Arabidopsis thaliana: one gene and its partners. The protein of the gene in region 2 interacts with the protein of the main gene of each other region in a pairwise test. Each region holds a gene or a part of one and is shown on either strand. Other genes may lie near its edges.

Region 1 (5,088 bases), about 15 Mb from region 2:
CGATGAAAATAGAAAGCGACGCAATATTTTTTTATTGAAACGCCAAAATGCTAGATCGTTCTGGTTTAAAATGAGCTTTTGTGGATAAAGCCAAACCCAACTAATAAATACTCTACTATGGAGCTGGACATGTCGACCCAATAGCAGCTTTACTTGACTTTGAATTAGGCAAATCAGACTACATGGCGTTTCTCCGTGGCTTGGATTACAATGCATCTACTTGAAGCTCATCTATCACTTGCATTGACAAGACCGTACCTAGAAACTTTAAACTATCCTTCTATGTCAGCTAAATTGTCATTAAAACATAACACATATGTTTTTGTAAGATATCTAATAATAAGACAACAAATATGGCATCAACCATTTCATATATATATGTGCATGAGAGCTCTCATCATCTTACTTAGCTTTGTATCTAAGGAGGATCCGAGTTTTAACAGGCTATATCATGCATAGATAAAATGGTTATATTTGACTACTGTTTGTTCTGGTATAGATGGTTACATTTGAGTCATTTCACCATGAGGACTCTTTCTCTGTAACACAAACACACCCTTTGAACAACTTTATTAAACACATGTACTTTTTACATTTTTGAACCAGCAAACTTGTTTTTTACAGTATACTTATATATTACAGTAATTAAAATACTGGAGAAGCTAGCGCCTTGAGCTTGGTGGCTTCCGTGAAACCGCATAAGGTGACTGAAACCCAACTGTTTCTACGTCTCCAACAGTTTTGAACAATCTTCTTTTTCTAGCCTCTTCCCCTGGCGACCGGTGCAGTAACTGTCTCTGCACGTCTACAAGTGATCGGTTCCTTGTAAGTGTGCGGTTGTCTGAAGCCAAGCTTCTGTTAGTTGAACTGGAAGCTGCATACGCGTTGGCTTGTCCTGACTGTAGATGAGAGCTTTCTTCGGGGCAAAACCTCGTCATGTTGTGAGTTCTGCTCATAACAGGAGATTGGGAGCTGTACTCATCAACAGCTATGTAGTTGAGGTTGGAGTAAGACCCTGAATGGGAAGAACTCTGAGAATACGTCTCATCGTGTAAATCATCTGCAATTTTAATTTCTATCTCAAAAACTTTTATAAAAACAATTGTCACACTATGCACGTTGAGACTGGTGTTACTTTCCATACCTTGTACCCAATCTTGAAGGCCTCGAGCCATATAGTTCGAGAGTGAAGCTTGGGAAGATGACGCGTGCGAGGAAGAAGAGTGAAAAGAATCGGTACGATGACGATGATGATCATGAGGGGTTTCATCATCTTCCTCATACTTCCAATCAGACACCAAAGAAGAAATCGCTCCATCAATCATTTTAGCAATCTCGACTGGCTCCCAATCTATAATTTCGAGTTCTTTTACCATCTCCTTTGCAACATCAATGGAAGTATCATTCATGATGTCAAAGGGAAAGAATACATTATTGGCCAGACCTGGAAAGAAAAAAACAATTATGCGACCGAATAACAAAGTGACCAGCTTAATCAATTTAGTCCCATTTACCATTATCATATGCGATTTGTACTTCCAGATCGATTTTGTTATCTTCAGCGCCCAGCTTCCCAGCGATGGACATCTCGGTCCTTAACTCATCATCTTCCAACTTCAGTGTGTCCATTTCATTCTCGTTCAAGAAGGGCTTTGGATTCCCAGCACCGCTCGTGTATACCATCCAGGACTCATCGGAGGCAAGAAATGGATCTTGCAATAGTTCTTTTGCTGATACTCTCTTTGAGGCAGACACGAGGCATTTCCCGATGAACCTCTGTGCCTCGATGTCTCCAACTCTGTAAAATGCTCCTGGTAGCTTTCCCTGAAAAGAGAACATTAGAAGACTCATGCCTGGTTCATCTGACAGCTTCATTTATATGCTCACAGATTGTAAGACATACCCCAACAACTTTCTTGTAAATCTGTGCCGGATGGTTGCACTCACTATACGGGAACTCAGAGGTGATCATCTCCAAAAAGCACATACCAAAGGAATATACGTCAATGAGTTCATTATAGTTCTCCTCATATAATTCTGGTGCCATGAACTCAGGAGTGCCTATGCAAAAGAAACACAAAGAGGTCTAAGCATATGATTTGGACAAGAAGTGAAAACAAACGATTTTTGAGACATACCAATGATGCTATGGGCCGAGTGGCAGTCCCGCAGCATTCTTGCAAGACCAAGATCACCAATTTTGACTTGTCCAAGATGCCCATTCACAAAGATATTATCACACTTAAGGTCTCTATGGATAACAGGAGGGTCGTGCTCGTGGAGATAAACTAGCCCTTCCAAGATTTGCCGAGCCCAGGACTTGATTGCTCGGATATCTATCCGCAAGTACTTATTTTTGTATCTGCATATGAACGGGACAGGGTCATAAAAGACAAAAGCTGAATAATCTTGTCAGAAGAAGAGGTTTAAGCGAATTACTGTCGGAGGGTCCCTGAAGTGAACAACTCGGTGATGAAGTTGAGAGTGTGGTTATGAACATCGATCCAGGAAGTGTAGAAACGAATGATGGATTTGTGGTTGAGAGTGCTGAGGAGATGAACCTCGGAGTAAAGCCTCTGTAGATCAACAGAGGAACGCAGAACCTCCTTAAGCTTCACCTGGCTCCATGCTACTTCTATTCCCAGCTTCTCGTCGATTGCTTTGTACACTGTCTTCATCGCTCCCCTTCCAAGAATTTCTGCAAACTGTTCCAACATAAAAAACCAAGTGTTACAACAAGGTTTTGATCCATGAACATAGAATCTGTCTCCTTACTTACACGTCCATAGCGACCAGTTGGATCAGTTTCCACATACTCTGCAACTTGATTCATATTCATGGTTGACCAAAAACCGATTGATGATCCCAAAAATGTTTAAGAGGACACAGACTTTCGTTTTTATAACAGAGAAATTTTCCGGTGGCCAAAAGTCGTCCTGTTTACTTCTTCGTGCTACTTCATTAAAGAAGCGTCAGCAGAAAATATGTTGAACAGTCGTTGGCGTCAATCACCCATTTGGGATAAAAAGAATAAAGACAATTTGCCTTAACCTTGCTTGCATCACATATATTATAGAAAATCATATATTTATTTTTATTGACCCAATTGTAAATCTAAAAATCGAAAGTTTGACAAATCTTACTTGCCAATACAAGATACTCAAACCACAAAAATGAAAAAAAAATCATCAAACGTGTACCACATTGAAAACACATGGCTAAATATGCTCAAAAGATGCCCTTGTTTATTTTGTGAACCACAAACACAATTGCAAAGAGGATAAGAGTTAAGAAAGTGTGGATACTGGGAAATGCGATATTCAGGAAAGAGTTTTGTTTCTTGAGGAAACTGCACAATTTTCAATTGAACCAATTATTAGTTTGGTGAACACAAGCAATCCAAAATAAATAGATTGAGGTTAACAAAAATAAAACGACAAAGAAAAGGGGAAAAGTCAGAACAGAAGTGGGGAACATGACAAGAAGTTGTAGAGAATAGAGTGATAGTGACATCACCGTTGAAAATTGTTTTGTTTTTGTTGGCGGCCAGTTCCTGCAGCCCTCAAGGAGTTCACGGTTCTGTAATAAACTAATAACACGTAACAAATATGCATTCACCAATAAAGTATGTGCATGAGAGCTCCCATCATATTACTTCGCTTTTTATCTAAGGAGGGTCTGAATGTTAACAGGCAATATCTAAGGAGGGTCCGAATGTTTGACAGGCAATATCATAGATCAAAATGGTTATGCATTTTTTGACTACTGTTTTGTTCTGGTTTAGATGTTAGTTGACACGTGGAAAAGGAGAGAGGGAAGCATGGTAGGAATTAGGAAATGAAGATAAGGATGGAATATATCTAAAACAAGAAAAGCCGTATAAGTTTGACACTGACTGACTACAGAGGTTGCAGCCAGAATTTTTCCCACAAGCATATAATTATATTCTGCTCATTCATCATTATCATTCACCACACAACATGGGAATGGCCCTTTCTCCACCATGTTCTCCACAGTTGATATATCACAATACACAAAGGTAAATAACTCTACAGCATTTTAAAACATATAGCACAAGATTCACAAAAGATGTTACCTCTACCCACCGACTAAGTTCCTCCATTTATCTTTCAAATCCACCTACCAAGTTACAACATTTACATCACTCACACTTGGCATATATCTTGTTCAAGTAAATGGTGAGTATGAATGTTAATAAGGAAATGTTCACCTCTGTCCTCTCCGCAAATACTGTAGGGTTTCCATTCTTTATATCTTTCCATGATTTACCATACCTGCACAACAACAACAACAAAATGAGCCAGTGGTATAATCTTAATGAGGTCCAAGATGTATCACTATTGAATATTGATAATAGAGTACGGGACTAGGCAAAGAGTGTTTGCATACTCTTTTACTCCTTCCCTCAGAGCTTCCACTTCTTCTGGCTTCCAGAATTTCTTTGGTCTCCTGACATGTGGTTTCGCCAATCCGCCTTTCTTTAATGGAGATACACTCAGAGTTACAGGGGTTGGTCGACGAGGCCGAACTCTGCTAGACCATGTTTCCTGACTATCCGAACCTTTCTCATTTACATTATCCTGTTTTCACAATTAAACCACAAATTCATGAACCAAAGAACAAGATTTTTAGAAAGCATCTTGAGGGAAAATTGACTAACACTCACCGATGCTTCGTTATGGTCTTGACAGCCTGTTCCAGTCCTATTCACCCGAGTAGGCGGAGGAGTGACATCTACTGAGTGATCAATTGCACTGTTAGGTTCTTCCCCTTGCCTAGTGGAAGGGTCGATGTGTCCTTGAATCTCTACTAAATATTCCTTCAGCTCTCGAGCAGCCATTTCGTCTCCCTTATCAAGACTTGGCTCATGTTCCTGATCTTGTGCACTCACTGTGTGCTCCTCGTCTGCTGCATTCACATTATCAATCCCATCATTCTCCAGACATTCCATTCCTTCACCATCATTAGCGTTGTCTCTACCAATCCCATTCCCGTCCTCCCTTTCACCACGCGCCTCGTTGGCGATATCAATAGTATCACTCCCAAAACGTCTCGTGCTTTCATCAA
Region 2 (4,555 bases):
CTCAGTTTAACGCATGAAGTGCTAGTACAAGGAACTAAACCACCTGGCTTATTATTAACCATTTTCTTCATTTGTTTGATTGATCATTACACTAATTGTCCTTTTTTATTACCTAGTAGTTTACTAAGTTTGATTAAGAGAAGAAAACCATAGGGTCCAGTCAATAAAAAAGAAAGTCATAGCGTAGGACAAGACTCTTGTTACAAGAGAGCGAGTAGGAGAGATATATTACACTCGCGGGCGCGTAAAGAGACAAGGAAAAAAGAAGATATTTAGTCTCTGACAGTGACAGCTACCATTTAAAGGTGAAAGACTGTGTCAGATAATAACCATACACGTGTCATATTCCTATCCACCAAAGAACCACGAGGTTTTTAAACAAGTGTCTCTAATCTAATCCCACCCAACAACAAAATATCTAGCCGCGGAAAATTACTTTAAAATTCATCACCCTTTGTCCCTACTCTTGACTCGTGCATGTTCCATTTGATTTATTCCACCACGCAACCAAAATAGTAGCAATAGAAAAAACCAAAATGTTGATAAAAATTTGGTAAACTATGAATCTCTATGATCGATATTCATTTGTTTGATTGTTCCATTTCTTTTCTAATGCAAATCAATATTAAAGTGTTCTTATTTCGTGACTAAAATATATGGCTGGCCGAAAAAATATAAAATAATATATGACATTTGCTATTAGTTAGCACCAGTGATCATTTGGTGTAAGCAAATGTTTTTTGTGCCAAAAAATAATATTGAAATATATGTATAATTAATTCATTAACAAAAAGTTCTTATTTGTTATTTCAGAAAATAAATTATACCATGTGTCCTTGATTTTCTTATGTGAAAAAAAATTGAAATATCCTTATTGTTTTTAAAATAAACAAATTGCAAACCTATGTACCAAACAGAAAATAATACAATTGTTTTTGGATAAATTTGTATAGATACTTTTTCCCACTAGCATTAGATATTTTTTGGGTTTGGTATTATCCCAAAAGTCACGAGTGGGATTTTTATAGGTACTCAAAAGCTAAAATGTCTGAACAATAATATAAAATACATTTTAAAATAAAAGTAAAATTTAGAAGCATCAAATAAGTAATAGTTTCAATGTTTAGTGTTGATCTCTTATTAAAAGAAAAATAAACAAGAAATTCACTAAATATTTCTCCATCACAAATACATAAACATCAATTGCAATAAATATTTTGGTAAAGTATAATAAAAAATTAAATCCAACTTTAAATATGAACCACATAGAAAAACCAAAGGCTAGCCACCACACCAATTTTTTCTTAAAAGAAGGTTATTTGGCGTATTGGATCTCTTTTGTCTCGTATACAGTATTTTGCTGATGTGGCAAACGTGGCCACGTCAGCCAATTCTACTAGATATTTTTTCAAATCCAAATACTCTTTCCACAACCGTTAGATCATGGTCGGTTCGCCACCCACTTTCAATCATAACCGTTAAAACATTCGCTAGATTTTTTCTAGATATTTTCTTTTCTCCACACTATTATAGAAAGAATAAAGTTCTTTTTTTTGCTCTCTTCTCATTTATCTCTCCACTCACAAATATTTTGATTTGTTTTGTAACTGTTTCTCTTTCTCTGGAGCTTTCTTCTTCTTCTTCAATAATCGATTTAGGTTTTTCAAAGCTAAGTGTTTGTGTTGTGATAATGACTAGTAGCGAGGAAGTAGTTGAAGTGACGGTGGTTAAAGCACCTGAAGCTGGCGGAGGAAAGTTATCACGTCGGAAGATTCGGAAGAAAGACGCCGGTGTTGATGGTTTGGTGAAGTGGGAGAGATTTCTCCCGAAAATCGCGCTTAGAGTTTTGCTCGTTGAAGCTGATGATTCTACTAGACAGATTATCGCTGCTCTTCTCAGGAAATGTAGTTACAGAGGTTAGTTTCTGGTTTCAATGCTTGAGATTTAGGTTTTGTTTGTATAGAATCTGAGAATTATGAATTCGATTGAGATGCTAATGTTTTGAATCTGATTCGCGTGCGGCTAAATGTTACAATTCAAAGTCAAATTTAGAAAAGTCAACGATTTTTTTGTCGGTTTTGTGTTCATATAGAAATCTTTATCAACGCTTAGTTTCTACAACAAGCTAAAAGGATTTGTATTAATGTGGTTTGGTTTTGTGTATTGATCAGTTGCTGCAGTACCTGATGGCTTAAAAGCTTGGGAGATGCTAAAAGGAAAGCCTGAAAGTGTTGATTTGATATTAACAGAGGTTGATCTACCTTCAATATCTGGATATGCTCTGCTAACACTTATCATGGAGCATGATATTTGCAAGAACATTCCTGTTATAAGTACGTTGATATATACATCTTTTTCTTCCATCGTTTTGAAATGATTTTTTGGCTCATTATGTATTGTTTTTTTTTCCAGTGATGTCGACACAGGACTCGGTGAATACTGTGTATAAGTGTATGTTGAAAGGTGCGGCTGATTATCTTGTTAAGCCGTTGAGGAGGAATGAGCTTAGAAATCTTTGGCAGCATGTCTGGAGAAGACAAACTGTATGTTTCATATCCATCTTTTGTTTTAAGCTTTATGTGTGATGAATTATCTCTACAACTTAAACCCGTTCTTATATAAGTTCTGGGAAATTTCGTTGTCTTGAAAAGATGATTGAGTTCTCAGATTTGTTTTTGGTTTTGATTATCTTTTACAGTCACTTGCTCCTGATAGCTTTCCATGGAATGAGAGTGTTGGACAGCAGAAAGCCGAGGGTGCGTCTGCAAACAACTCGAACGGAAAGAGAGACGATCATGTTGTGAGTGGGAATGGTGGTGATGCCCAGAGCTCGTGTACAAGACCAGAGATGGAAGGTGAGAGCGCAGACGTGGAGGTTAGTGCGAGAGACGCAGTACAGATGGAGTGCGCAAAGTCTCAGTTTAATGAGACACGGCTTCTAGCAAATGAGTTGCAGAGTAAGCAAGCAGAAGCCATTGACTTCATGGGAGCATCGTTTAGAAGAACTGGACGACGTAACAGAGAAGAAAGTGTTGCTCAATACGAATCTCGGATAGAGCTTGATCTTTCTCTGAGAAGACCTAATGCTTCTGAGAACCAATCTTCTGGAGACCGGCCTTCTCTTCATCCTTCTAGTGCCTCAGCTTTCACACGGTGAGTTGTCTAATTTCTCAATTCTTCTTTCTATTAATCGTTCAATAGTTGTCGTTCTTTCTGCTGATTGTGTGTGTTATGTTCTTGTTGCAGGTACGTTCACAGGCCGTTGCAGACACAATGTTCAGCCTCCCCAGTGGTTACTGATCAAAGAAAGAATGTTGCAGCAAGTCAAGATGATAACATTGTGCTAATGAACCAATACAATACATCTGAACCGCCTCCAAATGCTCCAAGAAGAAACGACACCAGCTTTTACACTGGAGCTGACTCACCTGGTCCACCGTTTAGTAATCAGCTGAATTCTTGGCCGGGACAGAGTTCATACCCTACGCCAACCCCTATCAACAATATACAGTTCAGAGATCCCAACACAGCTTATACATCTGCAATGGCTCCTGCTTCACTCTCCCCAAGCCCTAGTTCCGTTAGCCCGCATGAGTACAGTTCCATGTTTCACCCATTCAACAGTAAACCCGAGGGGTTACAAGACCGGGATTGTTCCATGGATGTAGATGAGAGGAGATACGTCTCTTCTGCAACCGAACATAGTGCAATAGGCAATCACATTGATCAGCTTATTGAGAAGAAGAACGAAGATGGCTATTCATTATCCGTCGGGAAAATTCAGCAATCTCTTCAACGAGAAGCCGCTTTAACCAAATTCCGAATGAAGCGAAAGGACAGATGTTATGAGAAAAAGGTAAAAACTTAACTTCGATGGTTCCATCACATAGATGAACTCATAACGTAATGATACTAAAGGAACCTTTGAATGACTTAACAGGTTCGTTACGAGAGCCGGAAGAAATTAGCAGAGCAACGACCACGAATCAAAGGCCAATTCGTTCGTCAAGTCCAATCCACACAAGCTCCATAGTGATCCAACAAATTGATATATTATATACAGTTCAATTTTGTATCATCAACTAGAGGAATTTTGTTTTCTCCGATGCAGGAGCTGTTCTTTGTACAACTAATTCCACATACGTTAGATTTGGTGACACATTTGTGTGTACATACACATCTTTCGAGCTTGTTGTTGAGTTTTAGTTAGAATCTACGTTAGATCTGTAACTACATACATTTGGATTACGTTTCTGTAACTTGCAAGACGAATTAGAAAGATTGACAAAATCTCAGCTAAACAAATTTCAGCACAAAACAATGAACTCGAAGAAGATAAGCTATAGTGAGATCAAAACTTCTGGAGAATAGTATCCACTAACACAAAAATAGCCAAACGAAGAAGATGATTATGAACATATATAAATGTGTATATGTATCTCTACATGGCTCTCTGATTATTCATGTATCAAAAGCAAGATTGATAAAATTTGTGAAAAGCTTTGTTTTGAGATTTTTTTTAAGATCGAATCGAATCAGGACTAACCCATTTCCA
Region 3 (5,933 bases), on a different chromosome or scaffold from region 2:
ATCGTTTTCTAGTATATGGAAGAAAAAAAAAGGTCATATTGAAAATGTCCAACCATTTCCTATAATAATCACATAGTAACGACAAACCAACCATGTTATATTTAATACAATATATATCTCATATTTTTGATGAAAAATAAATACAAAGGCATGTGGATGAACCCAAATTTCTAGTTGATTGGTCGGCAATGGAACATGGCGTTGTGCTGATGTGGGGTTACTCTTATAATTGACTATTTTTGTCACTTTTTTCCTTTTTTATTTTTCTCATTCGATTTCTCTTTGCATTATCCAAAGTGTTTTAAGAACATAGTAGACACTAATTCATTTGTTTTTTTTGGTTTTTCTTTATTAAAGTTATTAATGTACTTTTGAGTAATTTTATTGTCCGAAGTTTTATTCCGAAACTGATTGCTGACTTCACATCGCTCAATAATTTGCTATCATTATTGCTTGTCATCAATTATTATCATTTGCTATAGTATGTCAATGCTGAAAAGATTTTAAAACAACTTGCTAGAAACGAAAATTTTCAAGTAATCAGTAATAAAAAAAATTATAATCGTATTGCATTTTGAAGTTATTAGATTGAAGGGTATTATTGTACAAATAACCCCAAAAGAATTTGAAGAGGATCTCTTAAGTATACTTGTGTGTTGTTCTTGTTACACTGTAAAAGTCTTTATAATAGGAAACAATATGTATGTATACATGAAGAAACAGAATGTAATCAAGAATCAATGGCATCAACAGGAAGTGAAGTTGTTCTTTTCAGACACTTTGGTACCAATCTTTCTCCAAACATCTCTTTCACCGTATCTTCTTCTCTTCCTAACCCGGAAACCGAACCCAAGAACCCGTCTTTCGGAGAAATTTCCACCTCTTCTCCGGATTCCGGCCACCGGGTTTTTAGTTGTTCATCCTGAATATCTCTAAGCTCAATTTGGCATTTGGCTTTAAGCCATCTCAACTCTTGTTGGACCTGATTTTCGGTTTTTTCGGATGGCTCATCGCAGTATTTAGATGGCATAAACGAGAACGATCCAGAACCCGATATATGGTTTATCTCGTTACCTGCCTCGCAAGAAAACATGTTTTCGGGGTCTTCGTATAGCACCTCTTCTTCCTCCTCTTCTTCGGAATGGTTATGGCCTGAATCTATCGAGCTTAGCTCGCGGCTTTCTTGCTGTTGCTGCAGCTTCCATAGCTCTCTAAGACGAACCTCGGTTTCTCTGATCGTGATCTCTTCAAACCGACCATGAGTCTCACCGCACCCGTTTCTGCAACATTGTATCACATTTGCCCCAGGATTGGTTCTCAGGAAATCCATCACCGAGCCCATTGAGGTGCGGTTTGATACGCAGTTGTTGCAAATGCTCGCAGCATTTGCCGCCGCCGCAGCCGCAAGACATTCTTCGAATTCAGGTCCCGGTCTCCAACTAGGTACAAGAGAAGATATCTCACCGTCAATCATGTTGGCTATTTTTGTGACTCCATGATCGTCCATATCCAGTTCCGCTACCATCTCTGTTGCAACGCTCAATGCGGTGTCCGTCTCAATGTCAAATGGGAAGTAAATGTTTCGGACACGTCCTGCAACAAACCAGTCCATGAATCAAATGAAAGAAACTGCATTTTTTCCACTCTTCTTCATAGGTTATGAAACAAGGAAAAGATAAAGAGAATATTGTTACCTTCTTTGTCAGCGATCCTAAGACGCAAGAACAAGCCACCATCATCTCTCCTCTTCCCTTTGATGGTTATGTCAACATTACCAGATTTCTTTTCTTCTTCTTGATCATCATTGTTTCGAGATTCAAAGAGCTCGATGCCGTGAGTCTCCTCTGTCTCAGCTGGATTATACGCCCATCCATTCTGATACTCGTGATGACTATTATAACCATTTGAGTACTGACGATTCAATGAGCTACTATTCGACGGGTAGTTGCCATTTGAGTACTGACGATTCAAAGAGCTACTATTCGACGGGTAATTGTAGTAGTCAGGAAGATGGTGCGGCTGCCTATAGAGTGGCCCGACCGAATCTTCCATATCAACTGATCTTAAATCAAACTCACCATCGTCTATACGGAGAAAAGGGTCATCTAGTAACTCACGAGCAGAGACTCTAAGCGATACGGTGGCCAAGCATTTCTCAATGAAACATTTAACCTCGGGGTCTTTCACCTTGTACAATGCATCCGGTTTCTTGCCCTGAAACCGAACTTTTAGCCTTTTGAAACAGAAAGAGATGAAGCTTTTTTATCTTAGTGTTTTAGTAATCGGAGAGTCTCACCGACATAACTTTCTTGTAGATCTGAGCAGGATGAGTACACTCACTGTACGGGTAATCAAACGTAACCATCTCCAAAATACACATACCGAACGAGTATATATCAACCAATTCGTTATATGCTTCTTCGTAAACTTCAGGTGCCATGAACTCAGGAGTCCCTAACAAAAGATCAAAACTTTACACAATCAGAAACAAAGAAACTCAGCTAAAAAGCAGAAAGGATATGATTTGGATTTGCATATAGTACCGACGCAGTGAGCAGCATGGGACTTTCTTAAAATAGCAGCAAGGCCAAGATCTCCAATCTTGACCTCTCCTTGATTCCCGTTAACGAAAATGTTGTCACATTTGAGATCCCTGTGGATCACAGGAGGATCATGGCTGTGAAGATAATGTAAGCCTCTCAAGATTTGTCTGCACCAATGCTTCATAGCTCTTATGTTCACTCTCTTATGTCTGAGTCTATATCTGTATCCATAAATGAAGTTATCGTTAAAGATAAACTAAAACCAACGACAGAAAAGTATGTTTACAAGAGAATCTTACTGTCTTAAGGTGCCAGAAGTGAACAATTCAGTGACGAAATTGATATTTCGATTGGCGGTATCGACCCAAGAAGTGTAGAATTTCATGATGTTCTTATGTTTTAGAGTCTTGAGAAGATGAATCTCACAGTAAAGCCTCTCAAGATCCTCAGGGCTTTGTAGGAAATCATATAGCTTAACTTGGTTCCATGCTACTTCTATGCCTTCATATTCATCAAATGCTCTATAACTACAAAATCAAAAGAAAGAAAGAAGATTAATGTATGTATGAGCAAAGAAGTTTTTTTGTTTGCAGAATCTGAATTTGGTATAAGTCAAAGCAATAAAGAGATCCAAAAAAAGCAAAGTTGTTGGAAATTTCTCTTGTGGGGAATTAATGACCAAACTAGAAGTGATTCAATGAAGCAAAAAAAAACAAAAGCTCAACTTTTTTATTTCCTCTTTTAAAGGATTTGATTCAATCATGAATCCAAAACACACAAAAATCGTAAGGACAAATTTGTTGGATCACAAATGGGTTTTGACTGGGAAAACAAAAAGTTACAAACTTTATGAAGAAAGAACAACAGATTAGGCTTAAATCATCACCAGATCCAGAAGAAAAAAAAGCTGCAAACTTTGAGAGAAACATGAAGCAGAAAAAGAAGAGAAGAAGGGAGAGATTCTCACACAGTCTTTGAAGCTCCTTTACCAAGAACTTCATTGTACTGCAACAACAAGAACAATGAAGTCAACAAAAGATCAAACAAAATAATTGAGATTGATTGATTGATAGGAGGAAACATTACTCTTCCATATCTTCCAGTAGGATCAACTTCAACAAACTCAGAGTAATCTGGTTCAAGATAACTCAGATTGTTCATCTCTCTTTCAATCTCACAATTACGAACCAAATAAAAAAATCCCAAAAGGAAAAATAAGAATAGATCTACCAATACAAACGTCTCTCTTTTAATAAATGGGAGAGAGTTTAGGTTTCTTCTTATAGCAATTTCTGCATAATCATATTATTGTTTTTGTTCTTCTCTGACAAAAGGAGTTGAACAGGGCAATGAAACTCATGTAGTAGATAAGAACAGTATCTGTATAGACTCTCTCATTATTACATTCTAATAAATACTCAAACTCTATAGAGAGAGAGAGAAAAGGAGGATTTGAGCTTAGAAGACAGAGAAGCCAAGCTTTTCTCTCTTCAATAGTTCAATGGAAGTTTTTTTTTTTTGGTTGATGACAGAGAAATACAAGCACCTCGTGAGAGAAGACAAAGACGGTGTGCGTTTCTTTAGGGAACGGTGGTCCAAAAATGGGATATAAACTAAACAAATATCTATCCTTCATTTTTTTTCTTCTTCTTCTTATGGAACCTTTTTTTTGTTCCTTAAACCTTTTTACATACTTCTAAATAATTGCAACGGATTTTATTTTATACGGTATATATAATTAGTGTCCTCTATCGACAATTATTTATTGGAAATTATTCTGTGGTAGTATTAACAATTGTTCGGTGGAAAAGTAACTTGAATACTTGAAAATTATGATTGATTCATTTTAGTGATTATTCTATACAAATTCACAAGCTAGAGAAAACAAAAATGTTACTATTACTTTACCTTTCTTTTGTTTTGATTTTAGTTTTGTTTTGTTATACACAAAGATGATGCTTGCAAATAGTAATAATTCCATTAGCCGACGGAGTATTGTTGTGAAATAAATGTTGAACCTACCAAAATAATGAATCTCATCGAGATAACGTGCCGAAAAAAAATTCTCCCTACCGGCTAAACTGTGTGATATGATTAACAAATTACTACATTTAGAACCATATTCTGATAAAGGTTTAGTTTATGTCATTAAAAACTTCGACTGGTTTTCATTTCAATTAGAACAATCAACATTCAAAACAAATTATATATGAATATTGGGTTGCCTCGTGTGGATGTGATCGTGTCAGGTCTCAGCTATCTTAGAAAAGGAAATAGAAAGGTGCTCTCTCGTACGTATCTTTTGAGTGATGGGAATGATAGACTGTTCCATACGTTTATTCCATTGTGCGGATTGCATTTGTATTAGCGTATATGCCATCATCATTTCAACTATATAATTGATATTCTAGTATTTTGAAATGATCATCGTTCGTTTGAATAAATCAAAGGATATGATCATTGTTCTATGATTACGTTCATTGGTGGGGAATGGTATCATCCCCTAATGCACTACGAATTTGACCATATTTTAGGTAAAGTTACTTTTTTTTTTAGAAAGATTTTAGATATAAAGTTTTGAATATTGTTTGCTGACATGCTTTTTGTGTTGATTTTACATACTAAAATATTAGCTACAACATTTTTAATCTGAATTATAGTATCCGTCTTATATTTTGGTTTCATATACGCTATTGGAAAATTAATTTTTAGAAAAAGGTAAAAAAAAACTGGAACCAAAATTTTGATTAGACGACATTCATCTAAAAAGAAAATCATTATAACGAATCATTGCAATCGCTATAACATATACAACTACATCGTAACGACTAGTCTACTTCTTCTACCATCAAACAACAATGCTATATAACTAACTCATGTTTTCGTTTTTGTTACAAATAACTAACTAAATGTTACCAATAGAAGCTTGGAAATAAAAACACAAAATTTAAGAATTCTGAAATGGATTGGAGACAGCGAGACCATACATTAGCATGTCGACTAGATGTTCCAAAGGAGGCAACAAAGGTTAGTTTGGCCACGTGTTAAGTTAAAGTTGCTCGTGTTATCTATCTTGAGTCTTGACCATACATCATTTCATTTACACGACAATCCATCAACATAATTTACATATCGTACAGTGAACAGGAATCATGTGCAATATGACTAACTATAATCAAGTCTGATTTAATTCAGGGTATAAATATTTGATTTATCATAATATTTGGAAATAAACAGATTGATGGGGGCCAATCTTATATTAGAGAAAGAACACACATGTGCATGTGGGTGAATACAAAGACATGCACGATCAGCATAGCCTTTTAAACGAAAAAAAAAGAAGCAAATAAAGACTTGGTTGGTTGTGAATAATGAATCAGACCAACCACA
Region 4 (4,837 bases), on a different chromosome or scaffold from region 2:
AGAAAAAGTTAAAAAAACTTATAATAATATAAACAGATCATAAGAAATAAAATCATGAAAATTTGGGAATAGCCATTGTTGAAGACAACAGCTGTCAAATGAAGAAGATATATTCATAAGATAGATAGATTATAAAAACAATACATATGGAGAGAGATGATGCTAAGGAAGAAGGGAACCAAACATAGAGCACAACAGGAGACAATTCATTTTGATTTTCACTCTCTTCAATGCATAATGGCCTTACCCTCAATTTTTCAGTTTTGTCTATCAAAATTATTTATTTCCCTGATTATTATGTATATTTTCTTTCTTTCTATTTTTATTTACAAGTTTTTTTTTGTCTCTTCACTTAATTTCTGTATTTTTTATTTTTTTGGGAAAATTCTTAATTTCTGTATTTAATTCTTCTGAGTATTTGATTTGATTCAATCTAGTACCTTAAAAGGATCGCCCTATTGCCTTGACCTACCATTTGTTCATGAATACCAAGAAACAGTATCTTCGTACTATAAACAATTTACTAAAGAAAAAAAAAATGCTAACTATACCAATTACATGGCAAAAATAACATTCAAAAATTCAATTATAAACTCACAAACAAAATGCTATTATCACAAATACAACATTACAAGCACAATGCAAAAAGATTTCCAAAGACCCTCAATACATAAAACAAAACCCTAACACACATCAGACAACGAAAGAGATTAACATTTGTTTTGAAATAAACCAAAGATAAACATACAAAATGAGCATTTGAACAAAACCAAAGATGCAATAATTAATATCATCAGTTCTTGCCTTTACCCTTATGTTCTGATGAGTTTCTGCATCCATTTTCATAGTAAAGCTGAAACTGGTGATTGTGGTGGTGATTCTCTGCAGGCAGTGCACCGAATAAGAACTGTGGACCTCCTCCACTTTCTGATGTTGGAAACCTCTGTAGATTAGCGAGGAATGACTGATGCTGATTTGTTGAATTGGACTGAAGGGTCCCCCTGTTGAAACCACTGAAGCCACCACCTGATGCGGCGGAGACGGCAGCTCCGGCGCCGGAGGGTGTTGACATATTAAAATCAAGATTGAATGCTCCGCCGTTGGATTCTGCCGGTGATATCAAATGGTCGGGAACGAATGAAAACTCTTGATGCTGATGATGAGGATGATGATGATGATGATCGGAGATTGATGAGAAAGGATGAGAATTTGTTGAAATAGGGAAATGGGTTTGTTGACCCGACCCGAGAATTAAACCCGAACTGAAATACTCCATTGGAGATGAAGAAGGAGCTGAAGCCATCCATTGCCGGTTTGAGTTAACCGGATCTGAACCGGAATTTAACAAATCCGTAAACGAAGTGTGGTTATGATCTCTTTCCTTGGTCTCTTTAGCTGTTCTCTCTCTAGCCCTCTCTCTAGCTTTATCTCTAAGCTCCGATCTTGATAAAGACAAACCAGAAGAGTTCTTGCTCGTGTCTGAATTGCTACTACAAGCAGATTTAGACAAGGAATTAGCAGCAACTGTTGTTAATGTCTGATTCTGGTGATTCTCGTCATCGGTCGGAAAATGAGTGTTGTTGAGTGAAGGAAGCTCAGAGATTGAATCTTCAGCAGCTTTGATTAACCATTCAACAGCTTTGCTAGGTTGATCATAACCTAACCGATCTTGAAGATCATAGAATTGAAGAGCGGTGGAGACTGATAACCGGACACGACGGTCACGTGGTCCTTTAGAAGTCAAGACTTTGCTGTGTCGATCTTTACCACCGGAAGCTCGTGAAACCCTAATTATCCGGGAAGAATTGTGATGCCACCGGCTTAACCGGTTGTTCACTTCGTTATCCACAACGTCGCCATTGTTGTTATTCTTCATTAGATCTCCAATCATTTCATCATCACCAATAATCTCATCACTAAAGAAAAAAAATTAGGGTTTTGTTTTTTTTTGGTTACCCCCAAAATTAAAAATCAAAACTTTAGGGTTGGTTTGGGATTTAAAGAAGGAGAAAAAAATGGGTTTTTGTTTTTGTTTTGTTTACCCACTGTACTTTGTAAGCATTGATGATGAATACCCTCAGAGGAAAAACCAAAAGAAGAAAAAAAATGTGTTTTTTTTTAAAATTAATTTAGGGTTTTTGATATTTCACCATCAAAGTCAGTAGATACAGCTTCGTATAAGCTTTGTCTGCAGCTGCTGTTGTTTGTTGCAGAGAGTCATCAAAAGCACTGTGTCTGAAATGATTTTTAACCACAAGCCTGCAATAACAAAAACAAAGAAACAATCTCATAAGAACAAATCTTTACACATATATATATACATAAATGCTTATATATATATATATATATGTTACATCCTTATCGACTTTTTCTACAGATGACTTTCATTCATATATACACATAATTAAGATATCAGTTATTCTGATTCGAATTTATGCTCTACTCATTGTAGATCTGACATATCACAACAATTGATAAAACGGGTTTAAAGTTAATGATCGTGATTAAAGAAGAAGGAGCTAGAAGAAGAATCAGAAGCTATGATAAATAATTAAGCTGAATCAACTGCTTTCGGCTGAAGCGATTATCAATGGAGGGCTTTAAAGAGTAAGAAGACAAAAAATGCAGAAATCGAGTTTTAAGCTTTTCTTCTCTATATAAAGATTTTGGTGTTTCTAATTATGAAAGAAAAAGAGTTGTTTCATAGTAACCAACAAGAAGATTAAATCAATTTAAAAATTCTTAAAAAGGAATCATTATTGATGTGTTCTGGATTCTATGCAGATCACAGGTGTCAAGCTCTTGGCTTTGAGATTATATGAAACCAAAATTTTAAAGCAAATTAAAGGAACAAATACACTTCTTTCTACAGTGAAATTCTCATCAAGAAATAAAAATCTTAGATCTAGAATTGTTTTTTTGGAATCAGAATTAAGTATAAACACGAAATTCAGATTCTTTCTATGAAAAAGATTGGTTTTTGTTTGTTTCTCGGAAAATTCGATGAGATAAATTGAGACTTACAGAAGAAACAGAGGAGCTTGAGCTTGGAGTTAGTAGTAGTAGGTGACGAAGAAAGAGGGCTATAGGGTTTTAGGGATTTGTATATAAGAAATAAAAATCCGAGAAAATTGGAATTTCTTTGATGGTGATTTTAAAGGAGTGATCATCAGATGGGGAGAGAGATATTGGGCATAAACTTTGATTTTATTTCCATTTTTGCCCTTCATTACATTACTTATTCACGGAATTGCCACGGTCCTCTACAAAATATCTGTATTAAATTATCATCCTCAGTAATTTGATTTCAGGTGAGAAAAATTATTTGATATTTTCGTTTGTTTTTGGCAATAAAAACACAAGAAAATATTTAAAGAAGTTTTTTTTGGCAGCTATTATATCAAGAAGTTGTGAACATAAATGCTATAGAAATGTTAGAAACAAATCAATGCGTGAATATGAGAAATCATATTATCTCATGTCACATGTATATTTATGTAGGAGAGGAGAACAAACAAAAAAACAATTCACTTTGTCCAAGTGTCCTTAGGATTTTAGTTTGTTCATAGAAATAGAATTCGATTAATACTCAATAATCTACTCTATGATATGTTTCGATCATAAAAAATGCTACATGTTTTATGTTTTCAAAATAGGTTTGGTCTATCATTCTTTACATGTAAAGCTCATGGTTTTCCACCAATTCCTTCGGAACATAGATTTAGATAGATAAAAGATTCATACCGCAATATAAACATATCTCTCATTCTCAAGCTAGTTTTCCAAGTTTTTATCTACTTGCTTTAAAAAAGGAACTCTCGCGGTCTCGCCTACACTCTTAGTCTTTTTGTTCTCCGACATGATTAATATTGTATATTCAGAACATTTTGCAGAGTAAACTCGACCCTCTCTCTTGAGCATAAAGCTCGAATCCTTCCTCTGTTTTTTTATTATCTATTTGGTTTGAGGTCTTTTAATTTTAGATATGTGAGTAAATTATTTATATTTTGTTTATGTGTTTAAAGTTTGCTTATGTTAATGAAATTTTTTTATAAAAAAATGCTACATGGAAATATATATACTGTCCGTATCATAACAATGTTAATTGTTATTTACCAAAAAAATATCTTTATTACGATAAAAACTTATACTATGAATCTTAGAAATTAGAAAAATTGTAACTATTATGTGTGAATTTCAAAAATTAATCAAATGAAAAATATGTCGTCAACGACCTTTTTAACTAAATTATCGTATAGGTCTTAGTCAGCCATTGCTCGGGTTCAAATTTGAAAAGTTTGGGATTTTATATAGAACAAAAAAAATAAAAATTTTATATGAGAAAATGTCTAAATTTAGCAGTTTTTATGATATTTTTCTATTTTTAACCATAACATGTACTAGCCTAATAAAAATATAAAAACAAATTTTATTTTGGAGACAATGCAAAACAATTATCAAAGTAAGCACATAATCCAAGCAAATATCTAAAAATTAAACAAACTATTTTAAAGTAGAAATAACTAAATTTCCGGGATAATGATATTTAAGGAAGAATGAAAACTATTTTAAAACCTATACATTTCTTTTCCACCTAACAAATCATATTGATAAAGAAATCCAAACCCCTATTTTAATAACTTACACTATGTCAATCCCACATCACATCACTAGAACTTCATGGAAAAAACACGCACAATTTAATTCAAGAATTAGTACAAATCGTTTGCAATTTTAATAATCTAGTAGTATTTTTTTAGTCAAGTGGTATTACACCATACTCTATTAACTTTAATAAGTACAGATTAGTTATTAGTTAATGTGGTTTGTGGAATTC

What was found.
Region 1: the proteins of PRR5 (region 2) and WNK4 interact in a two-hybrid assay, tested with the Arabidopsis thaliana proteins (one study listed by BioGRID).
Region 3: the proteins of PRR5 (region 2) and WNK1 interact in a two-hybrid assay, tested with the Arabidopsis thaliana proteins (2 studies listed by BioGRID).
Region 4: the proteins of PRR5 (region 2) and TCP2 interact in a two-hybrid assay, tested with the Arabidopsis thaliana proteins (2 studies listed by BioGRID).

The regions. Positions count from the first base shown.
Region 1 is NC_003076.8:23,583,256-23,588,343, reverse strand, and holds WNK4 (with no lysine (K) kinase 4), read right to left. Parts: upstream 3,556-5,088; 5' UTR 2,840-3,555; coding exon 2,780-2,839; intron 2,706-2,779; coding exon 2,440-2,705; intron 2,363-2,439; coding exon 2,139-2,362; intron 2,062-2,138; coding exon 1,904-2,061; intron 1,825-1,903; coding exon 1,515-1,824; intron 1,445-1,514; coding exon 1,145-1,444; intron 1,061-1,144; coding exon 663-1,060; 3' UTR 543-662; downstream 1-542. Other genes in the region: AT5G58340 (myb-like HTH transcriptional regulator family protein), read right to left, coding at 4,099-4,140, 4,232-4,295, 4,411-4,601, 4,688-5,088. UniProt on the Arabidopsis thaliana protein: May regulate flowering time by modulating the photoperiod pathway.
Region 2 is NC_003076.8:8,355,682-8,360,236, reverse strand, and holds PRR5 (two-component response regulator-like protein), read left to right. Parts: upstream 1-1,690; coding exon 1,691-1,916; intron 1,917-2,171; coding exon 2,172-2,333; intron 2,334-2,412; coding exon 2,413-2,543; intron 2,544-2,698; coding exon 2,699-3,153; intron 3,154-3,246; coding exon 3,247-3,856; intron 3,857-3,940; coding exon 3,941-4,033; downstream 4,034-4,555. Other genes in the region: AT5G24460 (RING-H2 zinc finger protein), read right to left, coding at 4,520-4,555. UniProt on the Arabidopsis thaliana protein: Transcriptional repressor of CCA1 and LHY, thereby controlling photoperiodic flowering response. Involved in the positive and negative feedback loops of the circadian clock. With RVE8, forms a negative feedback loop of the circadian clock.
Region 3 is NC_003074.8:1,352,855-1,358,787, reverse strand, and holds WNK1 (with no lysine (K) kinase 1), read right to left. Parts: upstream 4,253-5,933; 5' UTR 3,705-4,252; coding exon 3,630-3,704; intron 3,549-3,629; coding exon 3,511-3,548; intron 3,071-3,510; coding exon 2,843-3,070; exon of another isoform or gene 2,765-2,842; coding exon 2,544-2,764; intron 2,455-2,543; coding exon 2,297-2,454; intron 2,215-2,296; coding exon 1,695-2,214; intron 1,594-1,694; coding exon 731-1,593; 3' UTR 553-730; downstream 1-552. UniProt on the Arabidopsis thaliana protein: Regulates flowering time by modulating the photoperiod pathway. Phosphorylates APRR3.
Region 4 is NC_003075.7:10,162,419-10,167,255, forward strand, and holds TCP2 (TEOSINTE BRANCHED 1, cycloidea and PCF transcription factor 2), read right to left. Parts: upstream 3,166-4,837; 5' UTR 3,025-3,165; intron 2,260-3,024; 5' UTR 1,892-2,259; coding exon 794-1,891; 3' UTR 504-793; downstream 1-503. UniProt on the Arabidopsis thaliana protein: Plays a pivotal role in the control of morphogenesis of shoot organs by negatively regulating the expression of boundary-specific genes such as CUC genes, probably through the induction of miRNA (e.g. miR164). Participates in ovule development.